Linked DNA regions of Callithrix jacchus. The protein of the gene in region 1 purifies or fractionates together with the protein of each later gene. This does not show direct contact. Links are inferred from orthologs where the notes say so. Each region holds a gene or a part of one and is shown in the gene's direction. Other genes may lie near its edges. The genes, in order: PTPN6, CD22, CD72 and RPL35A.

What was found.
Region 2: the proteins of PTPN6 (region 1) and CD22 purify together in Homo sapiens (affinity purification with western blotting; 5 studies listed by BioGRID and IntAct, with this or other methods). This does not show direct contact. The link is inferred for Callithrix jacchus from reciprocal best matches to the Homo sapiens genes PTPN6 and CD22.
Region 3: the proteins of PTPN6 (region 1) and CD72 purify together in Homo sapiens (affinity purification with western blotting; 3 studies listed by BioGRID). This does not show direct contact. The link is inferred for Callithrix jacchus from reciprocal best matches to the Homo sapiens genes PTPN6 and CD72.
Region 4: the proteins of PTPN6 (region 1) and RPL35A purify together in Homo sapiens (affinity purification with mass spectrometry; 3 studies listed by BioGRID and IntAct, with this or other methods). This does not show direct contact. The link is inferred for Callithrix jacchus from reciprocal best matches to the Homo sapiens genes PTPN6 and RPL35A.

What each region holds. Positions count from the first base shown.
Region 1 is NC_133510.1:21,210,769-21,214,975, forward strand, and holds the start of PTPN6 (tyrosine-protein phosphatase non-receptor type 6), read left to right. Parts: upstream 1-1,406; 5' UTR 1,407-1,566; coding exon 1,567-1,580; intron 1,581-4,207. Other genes in the region: C9H12orf57 (protein C10), read left to right, coding at 358-509. UniProt on the Homo sapiens protein: Tyrosine phosphatase enzyme that plays important roles in controlling immune signaling pathways and fundamental physiological processes such as hematopoiesis.
Region 2 is NC_133523.1:31,607,773-31,611,331, forward strand, and holds part of CD22 (B-cell receptor CD22), read left to right. Parts: intron 1-914; coding exon 915-1,220; intron 1,221-2,620; coding exon 2,621-2,887; intron 2,888-3,035; coding exon 3,036-3,299; intron 3,300-3,559. UniProt on the Homo sapiens protein: Most highly expressed siglec (sialic acid-binding immunoglobulin-like lectin) on B-cells that plays a role in various aspects of B-cell biology including differentiation, antigen presentation, and trafficking to bone marrow.
Region 3 is NC_133502.1:142,531,080-142,535,130, reverse strand, and holds the start of CD72 (B-cell differentiation antigen CD72), read left to right. Parts: upstream 1-1,251; 5' UTR 1,252-1,361; coding exon of another isoform or gene 1,362-1,443; 5' UTR 1,444-1,452; coding exon 1,453-1,654; intron 1,655-2,361; coding exon 2,362-2,433; intron 2,434-2,936; coding exon 2,937-3,026; intron 3,027-3,375; coding exon 3,376-3,711; intron 3,712-4,051. UniProt on the Homo sapiens protein: Co-receptor of B cell receptor (BCR) that plays both positive and negative roles on B-cell functions. Recognizes the Sm/ribonucleoprotein (RNP) self-antigen ligand, and coligation of CD72 and BCR inhibits BCR signaling.
Region 4 is NC_133518.1:81,470,873-81,475,162, forward strand, and holds the start of RPL35A (large ribosomal subunit protein eL33), read left to right. Parts: upstream 1-1,455; 5' UTR 1,456-1,568; intron 1,569-2,160; 5' UTR 2,161-2,192; coding exon 2,193-2,203; intron 2,204-2,386; coding exon 2,387-2,539; intron 2,540-4,290. Other genes in the region: DRC9 (dynein regulatory complex protein 9), read right to left, coding at 1,152-1,168.

The sequences.
Region 1 (4,207 bases):
AAAGGTGTTGACAGGCAGCTCTGCTGCCCCATAGCACTCCTGCATTCCAGCTACAGACCTGGGGTCTTGTGGGTGTTCACACTTGGGGTTCTTGTGACTAAACTGCTAAAATGGTTCACTTGAGGGCAAGAAGCGCACTGCTTTGGGACATCTTCATTCATGCACCCCATCCAGTTGTGCCCAACGTAGAATAAGAAGTTGATCCAAACTGCATGGGGCAGAGTCCTGCATGTGCTGTTCTGCCAACAGCTGCCCTGCCAGTGGGGGAACAGCTCAAGCTCAGACTACCACCCCCTCCACCTGTCTTAGGCACGCTGGTCCTTAGGAGAAGCATTGACCCTCCACTCCCTCTTGCAGGTGTCCTCAAGTTTGCCCGCTTGGTCAAATCCTACGAAGCCCAGGATCCCGAGATTGCCAGCCTGTCAGGCAAGCTGAAGGCACTGTTCCTGCCACCCATGACGCTGCCACCTCATGGACCTGCTGCTGGTGGCAGCGTGGCTGCTTCCTGAGAGTTAGCCCTCCCTTGTGCCACTAACAGGGGAGGAAAGGCCTTGATGTTCCAGTCAATAATAAATGTGTCTGCGACTTAGCCTTCTTGTCAGTTTTCTTGTCACTCTGCCACCCAGGCTGGAGTGCAATGGCGTGATCTCAGCTCACTGCAACCTCCGCCTCCCAGGTTCAAGTGATTCTCCTGCCTCAGCCTCCTGAGTAGCTGGGACTACAGGCGCATACCACCGCGTCCAGCTAATTTTTGTATTTTTAGTAGGGACGGGGTGTCAACATCTTGGCCAGGCTGGTCTCGAACTCCTGACCTTGTGATCCACCCACCTTGGGTTACAGGTGTGAGCCACCGTGCCCCGTGTCAGTCTTTGTGGACCTGACAACCTCCCTCTCTCCTCCCCAGATTCTCTCTTCCTTTCCAGGCCGCATCCTCCTGAATAGCTCTTTCCTATACTCCTGGCTGGGCCTAACCCTGCTCCAGTGAGGGCTGAGGCTCCTCCCCTTTCCCCAGGGCAGGGTAAGAGGTTGGACTGGGCTCCTCAGCGCCCTGGGTGGGTGGGCGTGCACAGGGCGCACCTCCTTCTCTGAGGAATTGGGCTGTTAGGGCTTTTCCTTAGGCCCTTTGGTTTGCGCCTACTGAGAGATTTCCCCCATTGGTTGCTCTTCCCTCAGCCAGGGTTACTTCCTGGTCTTTGCCCCTACCCAACCTCCCGCCGCTCTGTCAGCTTGAGCTCCAGGTGGAGCTCCAGGTGGCTCCTCCTCTCCCGAGGGAAGGCAGCCCTGGACCGGCGGGAGGGCCTGCTGGACTCCCGCACTGGGGCTGCAGGGAAGCTGGCTGCTGTGGGCGGTCTCAGGCCAGCCCCGCCCCACCTGTCCTTTTCCTGGAGACTATTAGTCCAGGGTTTGTCCCTGCGGGGCCATTGGCCTGGCAGGCTGGATTGAGGAGGAAGTGACTGATTTCTGAGAGGTTCGTCCTCACCTGGCTTGGGCCACGGTGCACAGCTGTGCCACTGGCTCAGCCCCGCCCCCTGAGGCCCTCTGCCGTGACTTCATCCCTCCAGAGAGATGCTGTCCCGTGGGTAAGTTCGTGCACCACCTGGGTCCCAGTCTCCTGTTAGTTTTGGAGGGAGGGAGGCCTTGTTCATGCTCACTGCAACATGTGTGTGAGCCTGAGTGCGATCTGCCGCTGCCCTGCCCTGCGCCTGCTTCCTGTCCCTATGAACCTTCCCTTCCCGCAAGGTGTGAGGACCCCCGGGCTCATTCATGCCCCTCTGGCCCCTCTTTAACATTTTCCCCTGACAAGTGTATATCTCTTCTCTCCATTGCATTTCTACCTCCAGCCTCTGGGCTCCTGCTTCTGCCTCCTGCTTGGGACCTGTCCCTTGGGTAGTTCACATCACCTCAAACATAGCAGCAGTTAGAGGCCACCCGTGAAGGCCTCTCCTGCCCAGCCAACTTCCCTGCTCTTCCCATTATCTGACTTTGGTCCCATCTTCTTTCCGGTTCCTTTCACTTCCCTTTCCCTTGCATCATTCATTCATCAGATACGTGCTGAGCATCTATTGCACACAGGGTGCTGTTTAAGATGCTGGTAATACTGGAGTGAACAAGACAGACATGGTCCCTGCTTTCACGGAGCTTATGTTCCCATGGGAGGTCACAGACTGAACAAACAACCCAATAAATTGGATCATTGCAGATTCTCAAAAGTGTTATGCAGAAAATGAAACAGCCTCGGCTGGGCATGGTGGTCCACACCTGTGATCCCAGCACTTTGGGAGGCTGAAGCGAGAGGATTGCTTGAGCCCAGGAATTTGAGACCAGCCTGGCCAATATAGTGAGACCCTGTCTATACAAAAAATAAGCTGGGTATGGTGGCACACATCTGTGGTTCCAGCTATGGAGAGGCTGAGGTGTGAGGCTTGAGCCCAGGAGGTCAAGGCCACAGGGAGTGGTGATTGCACCACTGCACACCAGCCTGGGCAACAGAGTGAGACCCTGTCTCGAAAAAAGAAAATGAACCAGCTTCATGTGCTAGCAAGTGACTGGGTGTGCAGGTGACATTACTAGCTGGAGGGATCAGGGAGGGCTTCCTGAGGAGGTGACATTTGAGCTGAGACCTGGATGAGGAGGAAGAGGAGTTAGGCGTGGTGGAGAAAGAAAGAAAGAGAGAGAGGGAGGGAGAAAGGAAGGAAGGAAACAGAGAAAAAGAAGGAAGGAAGAAGATAAAAAAGAAAAGAATGATGTGGTGATCAAGAGTCAAGCATCCTTAGGCCGGGTGTGGTGGCTCACGCCTGTAATCCAAGCACTTTGGAGGCCAGGGCAAGCGGATCACCTGAGGTCGGGAGTTCAAGACCAGCCTGACCAACATGGTGAAACCCCGTCTTTATTAAAAAAAAAAAAGAGTCAAGCATCCCTGGGCAGAGGAGATGGAGCGCACAAAGCTCTAACGTGGGAACAAACAAAAAAAGGACAGTCTGCCTGTGATGCAGTGACAGAGGACCCTAGAGGAGCGGAGGCAGGGCCAGGGCAGGTTAGACTCTGTTGGACCTGGGATGGTGAAAGTGAAAACCTGGCCGGCCGAGGTAGCACACACATGTGATCCCAATTTGGGAGGCTGAGGTGGGAGGATCGTTGGAGCTCAGGAGTTTGAAACCAGCCTGGGCAACATAGCAGTTTGGGAGGTGGGAGGATCACTTGAGCTCAGGAGTTTAAGAGCACTCTGGGAAGCACAGGGAGACCTCATTACTACTGCTACTACTAATAATAAATAGCTGGGCATGGTGGCACACACCTGTGGTCTCAGCTCCTTGGGAGGGTGAGGCAGGAGGATCACCGGAGCCCAGGAGGTCAAGGCTGAAGTGAGCTGTGATTGTGACACTGCACTCCAGCCTGGATGACAGAGCAAAATTCTGTCTCAAAAAAAGAGAGAGAGAATGGAGAGAAAGGAAAAAGAAAGGAAAAAAGAAGAAAGAAAGAAAAAGAAAGAAAAGAAAAGAAGGAAGGAAGAAGGGAAGAAAGGAAGGGAGGGAGGGAGGGGCCAGGCGCAGTGGCTCAAGCCTGTAATTCCAGCACTTTGGGAGGCCGAGGCAGGTGGATCACTAGGTCAAGAGATCGAGACCATCCTGGTCAACATGGTGAAACCCCGTCTCTACTAAAAATACAAAAAATTAGCTGGGCGTGGTGGCACGTGCCTGTAGTCCCAGCTACTCTGGAGGCTGAGGCAGGAGAATTGCTTGAACCAGGGAGGCAGAGGTTTTGGTGAGCCAAGATTGCACCACTGCACTCCAGCCTGGTGACAGAGCGAGACTGTCTCAAAAGAAAAAAAAGAAAAAGAAAAAGTGACAACCTGCTTACAGAGTACTGGCGAGTTTGTGGGTGTGTGGCTCCCCAGCCCTACTGATTCTTGCTTCTCACACTCATCTCTGCTCCTGCCCCAGTGCTCACCTCATCACTGTCTGCCCCACCGACGGGGTTCCTACTGAGTCTTCTAGTCCTGAATCCCTTCCACGGCCATTTTCCTCCCAGGTAGCTTGGCCAGGCCTCCCCTTGTGCAGATTCCATCCTCAGTTTCTCAGCCTGGCCTTGAATGACCCTCTGCAGCAGGGTCCCAACCTCTCAGAGCAACTTTGCTCCAGCCACATAGCTCTGCTCACAGCCAGGCACTGCGCACATGAACTCTGTGCATGCCACCTCTTTGCCTTGA
Region 2 (3,559 bases), on another chromosome or scaffold:
GCCAAAAAGCACAGGAACTAAACTGGTAAAATACACTTAGAGGTGGTGGGAGTACAACCTTGCATCGTTCAGAAAGCGCACATCCGTCAATGAGAATGAAAGAAGCATAGATTACAATTCCCAAGGACGTTTAGTGTGGTCAAGGCCTTTCAGAGACTATTTCAAGTGAGCAAAAGCGATTCAAAGTGGAGAAAAGCAGGACTGGGCTGGGTGCAGTAGTTCCTGCCTGTAACCCCAGCACTTTGGGAGGCTGAGGTCGGAGGATCACTTGAGCCCAGGAGTTTGAGACCAGCCTGGGTAACATGGCAAGACCCTATCTCTACAAAAAAATTTAAAATCTAGCTAGATGTGGTGGTACATGCCTGTAGTCCCAGTTACTCAGGGGACTGAGATAAGAGGATTGCTTGAGCCCAGGAGGTCGAGGCTGCAGTAAGCTAGGATTGTGCCACTGTACTCCAGCCTGGGTGACAGAGCAAGACCCTGTCTCTAAAGAAAAAAAAAAAACAGGCCCGGCGTGGTGGCTTACACCTGTAATCCCAGGACTTTGGGAGGCCAAGGCAGGAGGATCACTTGAGGTCAGGAGTTCAAGATCAGCCTGGCCAACATGGTGAAATCCTGTCTCTACTAAAAATACAAAAAATTAGTTGGGCATGGTGGTGGGTGCCTGTAATCCCAGCTACTTGGGAGGCTGAGGCAGAGGGACCACTAGAATTGGGGAGGCGGAGGTTGCAGCAAGCTGAGATCGCACCACTGCACTCCAGCCTGGGTGACAGAGGGAGGTTCCATCCCTCCCCCCCCAAAAAAACAGCAGGACTGGAGAGAGGTGGAATGAAGTGGCAAGGGGTTCCTGAGGGGTGATCTGGGACAAGACATCTAGTCTCCCAGGCTCCAGCACGGTCTCTGTTCTTTTGCAGAAAAGCCCTTTCCACCTCATATCCAGCTCCCTCCAGAAATTCAAGAATCCCAGGAAATCACTCTGACCTGCTTGCTGAATTTCTCCTGCTATGGGTATCAGATCCGATTGCAGTGGTTCCTGGAGGGGGATTCAATGACACAGTCTGTTGTTACCCTGACCTCCTTGGTCCCTGACTCTGTCTTCACCCGGAGCGAGCTCAAGCTCAGGACACAGTGGAGTCACCACGGGAAGAACGTGACCTGCCAGCTCCACGATGCGAAAGGGAAGGTCCTCTCCAAAGACACAGTGCAACTGAATGTGAAGCGTGAGTCTCCCCAACACTCCTATGGGAAGGGCAGGGTCTTTGTCACCTTCTCCCCAGCCCCTCAGGTAGCACGCACCCAGGACACGGGGAAGCCTGCACAGACAGTGGTGTCCTCGCGCCCCGGTCACACTGACCTCCCTCTGGCACCACCCGCCTTGTCAGTCCTGGGGTTTTGGGAAATTGATTCAATTTAGCCTAACGTAATAAAATAGTCCATCCTTGGCCAGGCATGGTGGCTCATACCTGTAATCCCAGCACTTTGGAAGGCAGAGGCAGGTGGATCATGAGGTCAGGAGATGGAGACCATCCTGGCTAACATGGTGAAACCCCATCTCTACTAAAAATGCAAAAAATTAGCAAGGCGTGGTGGCGCGTGCCTGTAGTCTCAGCTACTCGGGAGGCTGAGGCAGGAGAATCACCTGAACCCAGGAGGCAGAGGTTGCCGTGACCCGAGACCTTGCCACTCACTGCACTCCAGCCTGGGCAACAGAGCCAGACTCCATCTCAAAAAAAAAAAAAAACGGTCCATCCTCAAGCAGCGACATGATTTGGGGATTATCTGATTAGGTCTCTTTGTTTCCCTCTTGGGGGGGATTTTTTATTTTGTGCCTCATTCATTCAATAAATATGTATCACAAACCTACTAGGTTCCAGGCCTTATTAGGGCTGCCAGCTGAGGGGGGGGGCACAGGGCAGGGGGCAGGGTGCAGCAGTGAGCAAAGCTCTTGCCCCACACGGAGCCAGCACTGCAGTGAAAGAGACAGACAACAAATGGATTAACAAAGAAATACAGAGCACGAGCCAAGACATTAGGATATGGAACAAAGCAATGTTAACAAAGAAATATACAACATTATTGTAGGTAGATTGTGTATTAGGAAAAAATAAGGCTGGGAGAGGGGAGTGATAGAGAGAGATCTCTTTAAGAAGGTGAGCACTTCAGCTGATTGGAACAGAGGGAGGGGCTGAGGCCAGCGAATATTTGAGAGAGGAGGATTTCAGGGGAAGAGAAGAGCATGTTCAAAGGCTTGAGGCAGGAGCTGGGAGTGGGAGGATCTCAGAGGCTGAGGGCCACATGTCAGGACAGGAGGCAGGAGATGGAGCAGGACTCCGGATCCCAAGGGCTGCAGTGAGGGTCTGGGATTCTGTGCAACGCGTGGAACCCACTTGTGGCTTCCCGCAGGATTGGCGAGGTCTGGTGGATGGTGTGAGGAACCCTGCATGCTGCTGGTGGAGACCAGCAGGCAGAGGAAGTGGGAGGGGGAAGCTGAAAGCCAAGTTAGGAGGCCGTGACCAGGCTGTGACCTGGGTCCCCGCTTGGTCAGAATAAAAGTCCTTTCCCCACATTCTGCCCTCTGAGAATTCCCCACCCCCTCCCGACTGCCCCTTTGCTCCTCCAGACGTCCCGCAATTGAAGATCAATGTCACTCCCAGTGAACCCACGGTAAGGGAGGGGGACTCTGTGACCATGACCTGCGAGGTCAGCAGCAGCAACCCGGACTACAGGACTGTATCCTGGCACAAGGATGGGGCCCTGCTGGAGGGACAGAACACACTCACGCTACAGCTGCCGGAAGTGACCAAGCACCAGAGTGGGACGTACTGCTGTCAGGCCTCCAATGACGTGGGCACAGGAATGTCAGGCCCAGTGGTTCTACAAGTGAAGTGTGAGGCCCTTGGAGCCGGGGGTGGGCCAGGCAGGGAGTTGGCAGGGGAGGACCCGGAGAGGGGAGACTCAGGGGTTCTTGGGGCCATGTGCTCAGGTTGAGGGGGTGCTCTCCTCACCTTCCCATTCGCCTCTGCCCCGTCTTCCAGATGCCCCAGAACCTTCCAGCGTTCAGATCTCCCCGTCACCGGCTGTGGAGGGAAATGAAGTCAAGTTTCTTTGCGCATCACAGGCCAATCCTCCTCCAACAAATTACACATGGTACCACAACGGGAAAGAAGTGCAGGGAAGGACAGAGGGGACATTCCGCATCCCTAAGGCCCTCCCCTGGCACACCGGGACTTATTCCTGCGTGGCAGAAAACCTTCTTGGTACTGGACAGAGGGGCCCGGGAGCTGAGCTGGATGTCCAGTGTGAGTAGCCATGCAGCCTCTGGTTCTAGGGAGAGACGATGGACACAGGGAGGGGGAACGCAGATGGGGCGCAGGGCATTCCCGGGTCCTAGAGTCAAGAGCAAGGAGCAGCCAGGGTCTCCTGACATGTCAGCTTCTCAGGGTAGGGGCTTTGTTGCTATTCACAGCTGCGTTCCCAGCTCCTAGCATAGGGCCTGGCTCACGGAAGGTACTCAGTAGATGCTTATTGAATGAATGAGGCCAGGCATGGTGGCTCACAC
Region 3 (4,051 bases), on another chromosome or scaffold:
GCCACCAAAGTGCTTGTGTTACAGGCATGAGCCACCGCGCCCAGGCTACAGATACATTTTTGAGGTGACAGCCTCGTCTCAGTGGCCACTTCCTCTAGGGCTGGCTGGGCGGAGCTATTGGCAGAACTCTAGGGTCCCTGGCAGCGTCTCACCACACACCACCAATCATCCGAGCTGTTGGCATGCAATGAGGACCTTTACCCCCTTCCTTTTTCCTCCCCACAGCTGCAGGAGGGGGTTCTTCGGAGCGGATGCCACACTGCTTGGGCGAGTTCTTCCCACCCCCACACTATGTCTTGTTCCAGTTCCTATCCCTGATGTAGGCTGTTTTGGGGTTCTTATTAGGGGTCACATCCTGGTAAAAGAACATTAGGGAGTACCTTTGGACACCCCTGTTCAGCAGCCTCTTCTCCCCTTCTCTGGTTCCCTCTCTCCTCCATCAGCTAGGCCCCTATCACCTATGAGGGCCTCTCAGTCCCTGGGTCCTCTGCCTCAAATGCCCCTTTTTTCCTCAGGGACAGTGTTGGGACTTTTTAAAGGAAGAACTTTACTAGGAAAGTAGGAGGAAAACCAAAACCAAACCAAGAAAATGTCAAAACCTCTGCTGGTCCAGAGTCTGCGCTCGGCCTCTGGCTCTGCTCTGCTCCTCTGCCTTGCCTTTGCCTAGGAAGCTGCAGCCCTTCTTAAACCCTCTGCAACTCCCTTGCTCACCTGCTCCCTGGCTCCCCATGAGGGTGCCTGGGGGGAAGTGCTGCCACACACCTTTCCAGAGGTGCTGCAGTCGTGGCTGTTCCTCGCCTTGGCCTGTTCCTAAACCCACAGTTACTAGAAACCCCAGGATGATGAGTGACAGATGCAAACCAGGAGCCCCCAGTCTGATGGGGAGAATGGAGCCTCACCCTGGAGCTGGGGAGATCATCTGGATCAGTGCAGCTCCAGTTACACATCATAAGCCCCAGTGGACAAGGCAGCCGGGAGGAGGGTGGGGCAGAAAAGGGCAGATAACCAGGAGGACCAGTTTTGGGGCCCAGCATGGCCCACATGGGTCTAAGATGCATGGAGAAGCAGCACAGGCAGGACATGGGGACAGGCCCAGCCCCTACCCATGTGCTTTGGACCTCAGTGTCCCCTCTGTGGCCCCTCTGGCCCTGGCCCAGGGATTCCTTCTGCTTCATTGAGCCCATCTGTTTGAGACTTGCTCACATCTTCCTCTTTTGTGACTGGAAATCATAGGGCTAACTGCTTAGCGGTACAGTCACAGAGGTAACACAAAGCCTAGGTGTAAAGGGACAGAGAGGAGAGGGGCAAGGGAGGACGGTGGATGACAGGGAAGACGGGTGGGGGCAGAGCTGCTCGGGACCATGGCTGAGGCCATCACCTATGCGGATCTGAGGTTCGTGAAGGCTCCCCTGAAGAAGAGCAACTCCAGCCGGTTAGGACAGGGTAAGGGGGATGAGGGCTCCCCTTGATCCTGCATCCCCACTCCCTGCCCCACAGACCCCATTCCTGACTCCCACATCATTGGTCTCTATTCTCTTGTCTCCAGAACCAGGGGCTGATGAGGATGGGGAACTCACCTATGAGAATGTTCAAGTGCCCTCAGTCCCAGGGGTGCCCTTGAGCTTGGCTTCTTCTGGACTAGGGGACAAAGCAGGTCTGGAGATCCTGGGGGATGTATGTTTGTTGCAGGGGATGTGTTTGTTGAGGGGCTGTGTCTTGAGTTGGGGAGTCCACAATGTTGTTGTTGAGACAGGGTCTTGCTCTGTCACTCAGGCTGGAGTACAGTGGTGTGATCATGGCTCACTGCGGCCTCGATATCCTGGGCTCAATTGATCCTCTGCCCTAGCCTCCCAAAGTGTTGGGATTGCAGGTCCATAGTATTCTTGAGAGCTCAATACCCTGGGGGAAAGGAGGAGGCCGGTTGGTAGGAAAGAGAAGAATAGGAACAGGATAAATGGGAGCCAGGAGAGGAAGAAAGATTCCTTCAGCAAGGTGGAGACCCCAGGGCAGCCCTGGGGAGGGATGAGTTCTAATGGGAAATGGGGAGCCATGGGAGGGAAAAGAGGGAATGGGAGAGGTATGAGAGCAATGGGGGAGAGGGATTGGAGCTGAAAATAAGGGGCCACTGAGGAAACAATAAAGGGAGAACTAGGAGAGATGAGGGAGTCCCGGGACTGTGAAACCCAGGAGGGAGCCGAGAGAGCCCCGGGCAGACCAGGAACTCAGGAGAGTGACGGAGTGTCCCAGAGCAACTCTAGCGGGCTGGAGTTTCCCAGTGGCGAGGACGAAAAGCGGGTGCGCAGGAGGAAAAGGAGCAATACTCGAGGCGTCCTGTCTCACACTGGATGCTCCCCTCGACAGCGGTCAAGTCCGAGCAGCCAACAGCTTCCTGGAGTGCCGTGACGTCATTGGCGGTCGGGCGGATTCTCCCCTGTGAGTGTGTGTGCTGGGCGGCCTCGGGGACTATGGATGGCTCTGGGCCCCGCGGGGTGCAGCTCTTGCCGGGTTGAACCCTTCCAGGGCAGAACTGCGCCCCAGCAGAACCCCGCCCTGGCTGAACCCCTCCCTGGCTGCCTTGCGCCATTTACCTCCATCCCAGTGCGCCAGAATCCGACGTGCACCGCCGCCCCCTTGGATGGTCCCAATTCACCTACCTCCCCACCCTTCTCCTCTCTCCCTCTCTCCATCTGATATTTCCTTCCCCTTCTCCCAGGTAATGTCCCCGAATCCTTACCAGCTCTGATTCTGCAACACCTTCTCCCCTACATGCGAAACTCCCTGCTACCCAACAGAAACCACCATGCTTGCCCCCTCAGCTCTGCACCGCCCTCCTCTAGGGATGCCTTCCCCAGGAATCTCCCCTACGCACCCATCCACTAGTCTCTACTTTCTTTCCCGGGGCTGACTGCCCGCATCCATCCCACTGTCCCCCTAAGGCCGCACAGCCTGCCTGCCATACCTCCTGCTTGGCCTGCTCCTCACCTGCCTGCTGTTAGGAGTGGCTGCCATCTGCCTGGGAGTGCGCTGTGAGTAAGGCTGTCCCCACACCGTCCCCACTTCCCACTTACACCGAAGGACTTTCATCCCGACTCCCTCCCCAAAGCTGACCCACAAACCAAAGCTGACCCCCAAACCAGGGCTCATCATCACTACCACCACATGCTTAGCTTTAAGTTTGGTTTCCAGCCAGGTCTGTTGTCTTCCTGAATCGTCCTCACCTACTCCAGTACCTCCTTAAGTTTTAGGCAGTCAAATCTCGTATTTCAGCCTGTAATGTAAAAAGTTGCAAGAAGCAGAAAAAGGGCTGATGCTGCAGTCTCAGGGCACTAGGGCAGGGCTGGAGAAGACGTCCTCCAAATCTCTGTGGCCAAACAGATCTGCAGGTGTCTCAGCAGCTCCAGCAGATGAACAGGGTTCTGGAAGCCACTAACAGCAGCCTGAGGCAGCAGCTCCACCTTAAGATAACTCAGCTGGAACAGAGGGCAGAGGATCTGCAGGGGTCCAGGAGAGATCTGGTACAGAGTCAGGAAGCACTACAGGAAGAACAGAGGGCCCATCAGGAGGCCCAAGGGCAGCTCCAGGCCTGCCAGGCAGACAAAGAGAAGACGAAGGAGACCTTGCGAAGTGAGGAGGAGCAGAGGAGGGCCTTGGAGCAGAAGCTGAGCAACATGGAGAACAGACTGAAGCCCTTCTTCACATGCCACTCATCAGGTATCCGCTCTGGGGAGAGGAGAGATGGGAGGGATGGATTGGAGCGAGGAGATACTAGTGGCAGGGGTCTGTCTATCACAGTGGGCTGTGAGCTGTTCAGGAAAGGGACAGTGAACCAGAGTGGTGGCTGACATAAGCTGTCCAGCCTTGGCCAACAGAGAGAAGGACCAAGCTGCATACTGGATTTAGGGGGACCCACCCAGTTCCAAGGCATTCTGTGGGAGAGAGGAGGATGGCACCAGCAGTCCAAATCACAGTGTCCAAGGTTTCATTTGGCTGACATCAGTGACAAGGATCTGGGAACACTAGACTTGGCTGTTTGTACATCTTTCTAAAGACA
Region 4 (4,290 bases), on another chromosome or scaffold:
ACAGGATCTGATTTTAACAGTGACTTACAAACATCTATTTCATGCAACTTTGGAGCCATCCTTTACTCCTCTCTCTCATTCCTCATCCACCAGCAAATCCTGCCAGAATTTAAATATAATCAGAATTCCAGTACTCATCACGTGTGTTTCCACACCATCATCTCTCATCACATTCACTACAGTAACCTATAATTCTCTTCCTGCTGGTGCCCTTGCCTCCCTTCAGTCCCAACGCAGTGACTTTCTCAATATGGAAGTCAGATCGAGTCACTCTTCTGTTCAGAACCCTTAAATACTTCCCATCTCAAAGTAAGGGGCGGAAAGCCTTTTACACTGGCCTCTCTGCTTAATTTTCTCCACAGAAGCTACCTTCTTCTAATGTGCCACCTATTTTCCTTGTTCACTGTCTTGCTCCCCCTCGTAGGATGTAAGCTCCATGAGGGAAGAGATTTGTTTACTGCCATGTGGTCATCCTACACAAACCTTGGTATAGGGTAGCCATTCATTAAACTATTTGTTAAATAAATTAATGAATCCATAGGGTAACCCAAATAAATGCGTAATAATTCGGAAATGTAAATCTCTGGCGTCCACGAATACACCTCTACAAGTATCTACTGAGGACCTATCAGGTGCGGACACGAGGTAGCTAAAATAAGTCTAAAAAGGCGATAAAGCCTCCTCTAGGCAGTCCTCCTTATACCTTGGATCCAAAAAGAAGAATGGAGGTAAGAATTTAAGTCCTTTCATTCTTTTTTTAATTCTTTTTTTTTCTTTTGTAGAGATAGGGGAGGGCGGGGGAGATGGTCTCACTATGCTGCCCAGGCTGGTCTCGAACTCCTGGCCTCAAGCGATCCTCTCGCCTCGGCTTCCCAAAGAGCTGGGTTTACAGGCGTGAGCCACAGTGCCCAGACTCATTTCTTGAAGAGATAACTAAGTAGAGGGGAGAAAAGAAGTATAGAAAAAGAAAAAGGGAAGAGCTCCTGCTGCCTTCCTGCTCCCAGCCTTTCTCTTCCATGCTAGGTTAGAGTCTCCGTTCTGTCTATTGCTGTATGAATCGAAGGAAAAGCACCCTCGATTTGTTCGCAAATCAATCTTACAGTCAATCAGCCTTTAGGCAGTGGGACCGTCCTCTCCTCAGGCAGCCTCACCTTTCCACCGACAGCATCCGGGGACGCAAGGAGCAAGCTAAGTTGTTTCTATGGCAACGCACAGCTTCGGCGGATTTAGCTGGCTACTATTTTGCCTTCCCCTGTTACCAACTAATAGGCTTACCTTGCAGCCTACCAAAATGAAAGGATTAAGTAAAATAATTCTAAGAGTGCTCTTGAATGTGACTTATTTCAGTCCGAAGACGATTTCCGAGGGCTGCTGTTCTGGCGTTTTTAGAAGATGCCTAAATTGAGGGCGCATTGGAGAGGTGCTTAATCCCACAAGGCCGCGCGGCGGGGCCTCGTATTTCTCTTCCCGCCATCTTGGCACTTGTGGAGGCTAGAGAAGCGCCTGCTGCTGAAATTTGGAGGTAAATGACTGGAGTGAGTTTGTTCGTCTACCCTAGCGAGTTGCCGGTGCGTATCGGAATCACTGCCAGCCATTGATTTCTATGGGTTTCAAGAAGAGAGACAACAGGATGCAGGAGATGCTGGACTGATTGTGCTTGGTCCCCTCACACCCGGAGAACGGCTGCCCGGTTATCTAAGTTAAATTCTTGGACCCGAGCGGAGTGAAATGGATATTTTTGTTCGTCTGCAGTTGTCCATGGGGCCGTGCTTCCTTTAGGATAGGGTTTTTGTTTCCTCCCTTTGCTAACAGTCTCTTCCTCAGCTTTTCTCCCCCGCCAAGTGTAAAGGTCTTAGATGTGTTTCTCTGCTTAAGTCTCCATTTCTTTTCCCGAGTGTTCCCAGGCTTTTCTAAGAGTTATTTTAGTGCCTCTTGTCCCTTAGTTTTGTCTCATTCTTAAGTTTGCTTAGATACTAACTTCTCTGAGGTTCGAATGTCTAGCCGGACCCCGCGTTTCATACGGATGTTCTGGCGTAATATTTTCCCCGCACTCTTACGTGAAATTCCGATTCAAAAGGAATTTGCCTTAGAGGCTTAAATGAGAGGGGACGGGGCGGGACATTTGTGTGGCTTGCTTTAAACAGAATCTTTTGTTTTAAGGCCTGCTGGGAACAGGACTTACAGAAGGAGCTATGTCTGGAAGGTACGCGTTTTAAATATAGTTGCTGTTTGTTTTTGTGTGTTACACGTGAACGTAAATGAGAGCTTAAAATTGGTAAGAAAAAAATTAGATGTTCGCTCTAGGTAACTTTTGGGTGGGGGTTATTACAGGTCTAACTGGTTCGTTGAAGATTGCGTTTCATGTTGTGTATCTTTTGTTTCTTAGGCTGTGGTCCAAGGCTATTTTTGCCGGCTATAAGCGGGGTCTCCGGAACCAAAGGGAGCACACAGCTCTTCTTAAAATCGAAGGTGTTTATGCCCGAGATGAAACAGAATTCTATTTGGGCAAGAGATGTGCTTATGTATACAAAGCAAAGAAGTAAGTTTATTGGGTTTTAATTTGAGATCTGTCTCTTTTTCTTTTTTTTAAATAATGGACTCTTGCTCTGTTGCCCAGGCTGGAGTCCAGTGAGCTATCTCCCTCACTGCAACCTTCGCCTCCGATTCAAGCAGTTTTGCCTCAGCTTCCCTTGTAGCTGAGATTGCAGGCACCCGCCCAGCTAGTTTTTGTATTTTTAGTTGGGGGTGGGGGCGTGAGGGGGTTGGTTGTCTTGTTGGCGAGGCTGCTCTCAAACTCCTGACCTCAGGTGATACACCCGCCTTGGCCTCTTATTAAAGTGCTAGGATTACAGGCGTGAGCCACTGCGCCTGGCTTCATTTTCCTATTGGAAGAATAAACAAAAGAGGTGGCTGAAGTATTTGGTATTGGTTTTTTTGTTTTTGACAAGAGACTTGCTCTGTTGCCCAGGTCGAAGTGAGGTGGCGCGATCTTGTCCCATGGCAACCTCCGCCTCCTGAGTCAAGTGTCAAGCAGTTCTCCAGCCTCAGCCTTCTGAGTAGCTGGGCTTCAAGGGGTTCACTACCACACCCTGCTAATTTTTGTATTTTTTATTAGAGACTAGGTTTTCCCATGTTGGCCAGGCTGGATTGGTGTTGCTGTGGTGCCTATTTTGCGTCATTGAACTTAATGGGGAGTTTTAGAAGGACATTACTTTTTGAGGGCGGTGTTGGATTTAGGAACTTTTGGCACTTAATAAAGGAGCGAATTTCTTATTACATTGTGATCATTTAAAGGTTTTTAATTTTCTTCTCAGCTCCTTTGGCCAGAATTTAAGGTGGTTTAGAACGCTTTTCGTGTGTAATGCATTTTGTTGATGCCTTAAAATTAAGATTTTTTTTTTCTTTTCTTTTTTTTGAGACATAGTTTCACTCTTGTCCATGCTGGAGTGCAGTGGCACAATCTCAATGCACTGCAATCTCCACCTCCCAGGTTCAAGCGATTTTCCTGCCTCAGCCTCCCAAGTAGTTGGGGTTAACTCTGTATTTTTAGTAGAAACAGGGTTTCACAGTGTTGGTCAGGCTGGTCTTGAACTCCTGACCTCAAGTGAGCCACCCGGCTCTGCCTCCCAAAGTGCTGGGATTACGGGTGTGAGTCAGTGCACCAGGCCCAAATTGCGGCTTTTATGCATGCCTAAAGGTATTGATACTGTAGACATTAGTTCTTTTTGTTGAGAGGACATCTTGCTCTGTCACCCAGACTGGAGTGATCTTGGCTCACTGTGACCTAAGCCTCCCCAGTAGCTGGGATTACAGGCGTGTGCTACCATGCCAGGCTAACTTCTGTCTTTTTAATAGAGATGGGGTTGTGTCATGTTGGCTAGGCTGCTCTAGAACCCCTGACCCTGTAATCTGCCCGCCTTGGCCTCCCAAGTGCTGGGATTACAGGCCTGAACCACAGTGCTCAGCCAATCCTATTTTCTTAACCCATTCCAGGCCAATTAAAATCTCTGGGAAAGTGTTTTCATCATTGCCCCACCTTTTCATCTGCAGGCAAAGTGTTCCTTTAACATTTTAAGTCAGTGGCTTAAAATTTAAGTCGGGGGCCAGGTGCAGTAGCTCACACCTGTAATCCCAGTGTTTGGGAGGCATAGGTGGGAGGATTGCTTGATGTCATGAGATGGAGTCTGCAGTGACCGATGATTGGGTTACTGCACTGCAGGCTGGGTGAAAGACAACTGTTGTCTAATTAAAGGAAATATATATAAAGTCACATCCTTTGTGCATTGCTGA